Xenopus tropicalis: one gene and its partner. The protein of the gene in region 1 purifies or fractionates together with the protein of each later gene. This does not show direct contact. Links are inferred from orthologs where the notes say so. Each region holds a gene or a part of one and is shown in the gene's direction. Other genes may lie near its edges.

Evidence for each region.
Region 2: the proteins of dvl1 (region 1) and axin1 purify together in Homo sapiens (affinity purification with western blotting; 3 studies listed by BioGRID). This does not show direct contact. The link is inferred for Xenopus tropicalis from reciprocal best matches to the Homo sapiens genes DVL1 and AXIN1.

What each region holds. Positions count from the first base shown.
Region 1 is NC_030683.2:93,063,560-93,067,963, forward strand, and holds the start of dvl1 (segment polarity protein dishevelled homolog DVL-1), read left to right. Parts: upstream 1-1,315; 5' UTR 1,316-1,455; coding exon 1,456-1,625; intron 1,626-4,404. UniProt on the Homo sapiens protein: Participates in Wnt signaling by binding to the cytoplasmic C-terminus of frizzled family members and transducing the Wnt signal to down-stream effectors. Plays a role both in canonical and non-canonical Wnt signaling.
Region 2 is NC_030685.2:15,101,806-15,106,117, reverse strand, and holds the start of axin1 (axin-1), read left to right. Parts: upstream 1-1,330; 5' UTR 1,331-1,621; intron 1,622-4,312. UniProt on the Homo sapiens protein: Component of the beta-catenin destruction complex required for regulating CTNNB1 levels through phosphorylation and ubiquitination, and modulating Wnt-signaling.

The sequences.
Region 1 (4,404 bases):
AGTATAAGCAGTACTGTACAATCTTACAACATACAGAATTTCACACAAGGAGGACAAGTATTATAATAAATACAATAAATAAGTATAAATGCACAGAGATTAAGTTCCATGTGTTATGATGCACAGTAGGAAGGAGGTCCCTGCCCTATAGAGCTTACAGTCTAAGTGGTTGGGTAACATACAGGCACAAATTGGGGAGCAAAAGTACACAAGGTATGGGCATTGGTCCTTAAGTGCAGGGTTAGACAAAATAATGTTTTTGATTTATGGGGCTTCAGGGATAGTGTTCCAGGGGTAAGGTGCAGTGAGATAGAGGATTGTTTATGGTGTAAAAAGGTGGCTGCTCTGAGAAGAGCAGAGGAGATGACCAGGAACATGCAGGGAGACAAGTGAAGAAATATAGTGAGGAGCAGAGGAGTGAAGGGATTTGAATGTTAGCAAAAGGATTTTGTATGCTATCCTTAGCTTAACAGGCAGCTATGCTACAGACATTACTTGGGCTGAACAGGTTCCCTCTTAGGAGAAAGCAGGAGGATCCTAGCAGCAGAGTTTAAGATAGATTGATGGGAGACCAGTTAGAAGGAGTAGGTGATAGTAAGAGATTTATACATATCTATTACATTTCACAATAAATTTTAAATAATTTAAAAGTCATTAAAGTCATTAACAGTCATTTTAGAAATATTTCCCCTACAAAAACTGCAGAGGGGTGGTTGTGCAAAACTAGATTCAGATTCCCCAGACTAGTAAAAGATTTATATCTAAATATAGATATTTATGGCCCCAGACTGCCCTGCTCACCACATTGTATTACATCTGCACCACTGAGACTGAGTGGCTAAAGGGGCATAGTTAGAGCAGCACTGGCTATTATTACTCACCACTGTTGATATGGTCATGAAACTATTTAATGCCTTCTACTATGTTCATATATTACAATTGTATTGATTTCAAACTGAATTCTTTGTACAATTCACACTTCTATTGCTGCAACTCTTATGTTTGTAGTTAGTATTTGCCCTAAATAAGGCATTTGGCTTTTTTTATATTGCATTCATATCTGTCCAAACTGTCCACACAAGGGCAAATGGTTTTCTGCGGGTAATATACAATATTTACTTTGTACAAATGAAACAGCTCAACTGCGTCTGGAATATAACAGAGCCTGGAAAAATACTGGTCTTTCAGGGTTTGTATTTCCGCGATCAGCCTGTAGAGGGCAGTGCAGGGAGCAGAATGCCCAGCAACTCAGCCATTTCCCAGTACCTTGCAAGATCAGGATTCTGCATTTCCCTTCCTGTTTAGAGGATCCATGGAGCAGTGCATTGTGAGAGCAAATTGAGTGACTGACAGAGGAGAGACTTCACATATGGATCTACGTATGATTCAGATTTAATTTAAAGGAGAGGGCATTGCCATTTTGGGGGGTATAGCCCCCTTGCTATTTCTCTGCTCATGGCTGAAACCAGAATCATCTACCATATAGATGAAGAAGAAACCCCTTATCTGGTGAAACTGCCTGTTCCTCCTGAGAAAGTGACCTTAGCAGATTTTAAAAATGTCCTCAGCAACAGACCTGTGCATCATTACAAATTCTTCTTTAAGTCCATGGACCAGGATTTTGGGTAAGCTCCCTCTCCTCTCTGGGAAGCATGAGAGTATATGATATGTCTGTGCCATAATCTGCTTGCATTGCTGTCATATTGTGCCAACCTGTGCCATTCAGCTACCTGGGCTGCTAAGGAGAGAGACCTTCTTGTAGTGGGAATGGTTAGTGCCCGTCAGTCTTGTTGTGCTGGGTGCAGAATGCAATCTATTCATGTTTGTAGATCTGTGCAGCTTGCCCTGGGTGTGTATGTAGAATGGCATGCTGCAAGCCATTTGGCGTGACACTGTGTAAGGCGAGAGGAGCATTACAATGCTAGATAATATACTGTAATATTTATTACCCTGTATTTATGAAGCACTGACATATGTGTGCTTTGCAGAGATTATAAATCATTCACATCAGTCCCTGCCCCAGTGGGGCTTACAATCTAAGGTCCCTATCACATACACAAGCACTATAGTCTATTTCATCAGGAATCAGTTAACCTGCCTGTATGTGTTTGAAGTGTGGGAAGACACCAGAGACCCCGGAGAAAACCCTCACAGACACGGAGATAACATATTAAAAAAACGGGGATTTAATCCTCCCAATGTCACTGCTTCAAAGGCTTTTTACTGTCATTTTTCTGTGCAGGGTGAATGTCACAATAAGGGGGGAGGGTTGTCAGATTGCAGAATTGTCATAACCCATATTATTTAGCAATATGGCACGAATTTGTTGATCATGCTGGCAAGTGTTTATCTGCTGCAGAACCTCTCAGTGAGCAGCTGTCAGTCATTGGCAATTATACAGGTTGTGTCTGTGAATAAAATAGAATGCTGGCAGCTATGCCATCTAGTAGGTACTGCTGCAGTATGAGGAGACCTAATGTTCTAAGTGCTGTTGCTATTGCCCTGGCATGTGGGACAGTTCATTTGCCACATCACCCAAGGTGAAGGGAGGGGAAAGACATTAGTGAAGTTTCCAACAAGGGCAGCCCCTTCATACCCCTCCTGTATCCCCATAGGGGGTCTGTCGTCATCCTTGGCTCTTTTTTCTCTTAGTTATTGTCAGCTGGTTTAGGGTAGTCTGCCAATTTTCAGCCCTTTTATAAAGTAAAAAGAAGATGTAGTATGTCCACACCACCCCCATACTACATCAGCTTGATGACTTGGGATGTATAAACTTGGGGGTATGAAGAGGGATGGCTGAATTTGACATGAGAACAGATGTATGAGGGCTCCATGACCATGACAAACATGGCGGTACAATATTAGCTGATACTGTGACAGGGCAGAGGAGAATGCAAGCCTTGGCAAACATATATCTAAGCAGAGGGACAGGTGGCAGGGACACACATATACAGGTGAAAATATACTTGTATTAGCCCAGTTATAGATGCAGTATTATAACAGCTCTTGCCAGCCAGCAGTCATGTGGCTGCCTCTACACTGTACTTACAGATAACTGCCTACCACCTCTGTGCGGGAAAGTAATGGATATTTAGTTTTTTCCCAGCAAATTCACATTAAAGCACTTTGTTGTCATTTTCTGGAAGTCATCACTTTCCTCCTACATTCCTTTTGGGCTGGCCGAACAGTCTGCAAACTCTGGGTGGGGAAGCACTGAGAAAGTATATATGACGCAGGGAGCAGATATGTCAGCTTACACCCTTTCTGTGCCTGCAGTTATATTGTAGTTCTCCTCCCAAGGTAAGGGAAGGTAGGAAAGCAGAAAACATACAATCGTAAAACCAGTAAAGCAGCTTCCGTATGGACATACTGAGAGAAAGAGAGATGGATAATTGTAGTTTTCATATATTTTAGGTGGTATTGAGCCTCTTATGTGTCCTTTCCTGAGAAAGCTGAACACCTGGGCAGCACTATTGTATTCACACATACAGGTGGATTATCTGACCATTTAATTGTATTAATTGTACTCAGTGGAGAGCTGAGTGCCATTACTGTGCTATCACATGTATAAAGAAATGTGACTCTTTTTGTATTATTATTTGGTTTAAAAATTAATCCCTTAAAATGTGTTGTATTGAGTAAATATCTGAGCAGGTGGAAATATCTAATAAAATAAAAAAAAGTGAAAACAAATGAAAGCCTTTAAAAAAAAACCTTCTTAAAACACTCAAAAAATTCAACCCACAGTGGCAGAGGAATATATCCAGAGATCCAATGAATGTGGGAGTAGAACAAGGTGACAGCTGACCCCCTCCATCTTTTTGGCAGGTCAGATTAGGTGTGGATTATTCCCATTTTTGCAGGGGATTAAAAGGGTTTGGTAACAGAACCACAATTTAGGCATTACTTTCTGTCCCAATTAAGCAGCCATGTTTGCTTCCCTGTCCTTTGTAACAATGGTGTAGGCTAGACAAAAATGGTGCTGCGTGGGGGCACCAATGGTTTTTTTGGGGTATTTAGAAGGGGGTTTTAAAAGAGAGAAATTTGGGTCGGTCTTGGTTCTTATTTGAAAGTAGTATAACTGCTGCTACAGTTACACCAGACATGGCTTATGGAATATGCAGTGTTCAAGTTGTGGTTTATTTAGCATAATTGCTGCTCAGCCTTTTCATCCCACTGTGTTTTGTGCTTGGGGAATGGTGTGTAGGGTGTAGTTGGTGTTGTCTAAAAGGGGAGGTATGACCGGCGCTCAGTTTCCTCATGTTGGGTCATGTGAGAAGTAAAAAGATAACCACCGTAGAAAAGCTGTTAACTGGAGCAAATAATACACAGCAGTTAGTGAAGGGTTTTTTACTATATCAAGCTGGTTCCATCCAGAACATTTAATGAAAGGCGTTGGGTCTG
Region 2 (4,312 bases), on another chromosome or scaffold:
CGCCCAAGGAAAGTCACCCATAGGGCTCAATGGCACTCTGCAGCTCCAACCTGGCCCAAGGAAAGCCTCCCATAGGGCTCAATGGCACTCTGCAGCTCCAACCCGACCCAAGGAAAGTCTCCCATAGGGCTCAATGGCACTCTGCAGCTCCAACCTGGCCCAAGGAAAGTCTCCCATAGGGCTCAATGGCACTCTGCAGCTCCAACCTGGCCCAAGGACAGTCTCCCATAGGGCTCAATGGCACTCTGCAGCTCCAACCCGGCCCAAGGAAAGCCTCCCATAGGGCTCAATGGCACTCTGCAGCTCCAACCCGGCCCAAGGAAAGTCTCCCATAGGGCTCAATGGCACTCTGCAGCTCCAACCCGGCCCAAGGAAAGTCTCCCATAGGGCTCAATGGCACTCTGCAGCTCCAACCCGGCCCAAGGAAAGTCTCCCATAGGGCTCAATGGCACTCTGCAGCTCCAACCCGGCCCAAGGAAAGTCTCCCATAGGGCTCAATGGCACTCTGCAGCTCCAACCCGGCCCAAGGAAAGTCTCCCATAGGGCTCAATGGCACTCTTTCCTTGGGCCGGGTTGGAGCTGCAGAGTGCCATTGAGTCCTATGGGAGACTTTCCTTGGGCCGGGTTGGAGCTGCAGAGTGCCATTGAGCCCTATGGGAGACTTTCCTTGGGCCGGGTTGGAGCTGCAGAGTGCCATTGAGCCCTATGGGAGACTTTCCTTGGGCCGGGTTGGAGCTGCAGAGTGCCATTAAGCCCTATGGGAGGCTTCCAAAATCATGCACAGAAGGTTTCAAAGTTAGAAAGGTTTTCGCGCCATTTACGATCATTCGGACCGTACCACAATATTTACGTATGACCACGATACAAATTTTTCGCGTTTTTAACGCACATCATAAATTATCGGATTTAATACGAATTTTTTTCTATTGAAGTCCAGAATTCGGACTTCGATAGACGGGCCCCAAAGCGTGATTGTTACTTTAGTTGCCTCAATATTCCCACCAATAGAAGGCTGGGAGACATTACCTACATTAAAAACCACAACTCCCAGCCCCCCCCTGGCAGCCATTGGCTAGCTTTGGAATACTAGGACATACACTACAGGACCACAATTCACCCCATAACCAGAGTAGTTCTTGTGGGAGCTACAGCCCAAAAGCTTCCTCACCAACTCTTACCATCCCTCCTCAGAGAACCCTCCCACACTGGGGCCCTAGGGCCCATGGCTGCCCTACATATACTATTCCCACCTCACAGACACCCCATATTAGAGCCGGGGAGCGCATCCCTGAGGTAAAAAGCGGAGAGCTGCTTGGAGTCACATGACTGCGCGTACCAGCGGGGCGGGAAAAATCGCGAGAAGCTGCGGGGCCGCGCATGTGAGGCGCGGGCACGCCAATGCGCACTCCCGCGGGTGCCGTGCACGGTGTTTCTCTCACACACTCACTCACTGTGTATCGCACTGTCCGGGGCATGGCCGCATCCCGGCGCTCTGCGCTCTCCTGTTTCCCGAGTATCCCTGCGCGGTGGCGGCTCCAGCTGGAAGCTTGATGGGTGGCTGCGGAGCGGAGGGAGAGGGCCCGGAACGGCTGGGCACAAGAGCCGGCTCAGGGCTGCCTGGGTGAGGAGCAAGGCCACACGGCTCTCTGTCTGTCTGTGTGTGTGTGAGAGGAACGGGGGGAGGAAACTTTCCAGGAGAGGCGGACGGATCCAGTTTGTAGGCCAGGCCCCGGCTTTGCCAGTACCGCTGGGCCGCATCTTACTGGGAAGCCCCGTACCCTGGCCCGTCTATAGGCATGCATGGGAACCCTGTGGCCCTGTACGTGGCTGTGGTAATAGAGTCCATCACAGGTTGCTCTGCTGCCCTTATTCCCAACATTGGGGCTCTGAATGCTTTGCTTTTCTGCTAGAGCATGCTGGGAAATGTAGTCCCAGGGATGAACATCACCAGACACTGAATGACTACATCTCTGGGCTCAGAGGGGTTACTGGGAGTTTTAATTCAGCATCATCCACAGGGCTGTATGGGGGATATCTGTCAGCTTTACTGGGGCTTTACTACATCCTTACTATATCTGGGGGGGGGGGACTATTTTGCAGGGATCCCATCATTAATGGGGGGGAGACAACTTATCTACGTGATAAGCTGTTAGTGGGGTGATGGGAGTTGTTTCACTGGCAAATGCACTGTGGCTGCAAACGATGGAGAATCCACAGCAGTGCGGTATTAGGGTGAAGACACACGGAGCTACTAGTAGCAGCTACTTGTCACGGCTACTATTATAGACAATGCTGATCATTTACTGATAATTGTCTCTACGTGTGTTTTAGCAGAGGCAATTCTCTGTATTGTCTATGGCAGGGGATTTTCTAGAGTTTAGTAGCCATGAAAAAGTAGCTGCTACTAGTAGCTCAGTGTGTCTTCACCCTAAGGGTAAAGACACACGGAGCTACTAGTAGCAGCTACTTGTCACGGCTACAAAAATAGACAATGCTGATCATTTACTGATAATTGTCTCTACGTGTGTTTTAACAGAGGCAATTCTCAGTATTGTCAGGGTATTTTCTGGTGTTTTGCAGCCATGACAAGAAGCTGCTACTAAGTAGCTCCATGTGTCTTCACCCTTAGGGTGAAGACACAGAACTACTAGTAGCTGCCACTGCCATAGACAGTGGTTTTGAAGTTATGTGTAAATGTAATTGGTATGGAAAAACGCTGCCTGGATGTTTGTATTCTCTGCACTGCTGGCTCTGACTTCTGCATAGCGGGGTGATGGGAGTTGTTTCACTAGCAAATGCACTGTGGCTACAAACGCTGGAGAATCAGCAGCAGTGCAGTATTAGGGTGAAGACACACGGAGCTACTAGTAGCAGCTACTTGTCATGGCTACAAAAATAAACAATGCTGATCATTTACTGATAATTGTCTCTGCGTGTGTTTTAGCAGAGGCAATTCTTAGTATTGTCAGGGTGTTTTCTGGTGTTTTGCAGCCATGACAAGAAGCTGCTACTAAGTAGCTCCATGTGTCTTCACCCTTAGGTAGCTGCCACTGCCATAGACAATACTGAGAATTGTCTTCTAAAACACACATAGAGACAATTATCAGTAAATTATCAGCATTGTCTATTTTAGTTGCTGCTACTAGTAGCTCTGAGTGTCTTGACCATTAAATCGATCATGGTGGGAATTGTATTCTGTGGGTTGTCCGGCAGTTTCACCATGGGTGGGAATTGTAGTTCAGCAAGGTGTTTATTGACCATTGCTCACTGTGTTCCATCACCTACCTTGGGCTTCTCACCCTTAAGGAAACAGGGGGGCTGCTGTGGCAATACCCGCAGGGCCACAGGTTGCTCATTGCTGCTGTAGGGACTAAGCCAGTTTATGTGTGGGTTGGGGGTATGATTGGCTTTATAGTTTTCGTTACAACTGCAGTTTTATGTAAGAAATGCTAAGGTACCGTGGGAGTGTGGGGTATTGTCAGTTCATGCATTAGCACTTTCCATGGTGCCCAATATATATTGGGGGCAGAAGTTCTCCGCATTCTGTGCATGTCAGAATCTGAATGCCGTAGCCAGACGCCTTGGGGGTGTGGGGGACCCTGTTTCTTGTGTTCCTACCTGCCTACCTGATCCATCGGCACCCAGTGCTTGGTATATTACTGATATATACTGATCATTTGCAAATAATCCTGCAAGGCTGTGTGCCCACTCCTGACTTATTATATCTGCTTTTGGTCTGACCAAAGAAATCTATCCTCATTGTTGGGGGGGAAATGTCTATTTATAAAAAAAAAAAAAGTGAATATATGTGTAATGTGATGTGTGTAAAAAAGAAAATATATATGTATAGTATATATCAAATTGGAATTAGAACTCTCAGGACCAGCAACTTCTTTGTTATATAATATTTGTATTTTTGACACATTATACAGAAGTCTTATAGTTATCAAGGAGAGATAGATATTTAAAATATATTTTCGTTGTAACTGACATGTAACTGTAAGCAGTATATACATTCATAAATGTCATTGGTTTTGAAGTTATGTGTAAATGTAATTGGTATGGAAAAACGCTGCCTGGGTGTTTGTATTCTCTGCACTGCTGGCTCTGACTTCTGAATCAGTATAGCAGAAACTATCGAGAGCAGAACTAACTTGTTTCAGGAGTCGGAACCAGAGAAAAGGAATGCAGACACATGTAGCTGGCTAGAAAGAGGATTTTTACACTGTGTGTGTGGCGAGTTAGTCTATTATAGCCCCCACTGGAAACAGTAAAAGGGATTGCCGGGCAGAAGGTGATGTCGCCTAGTGGT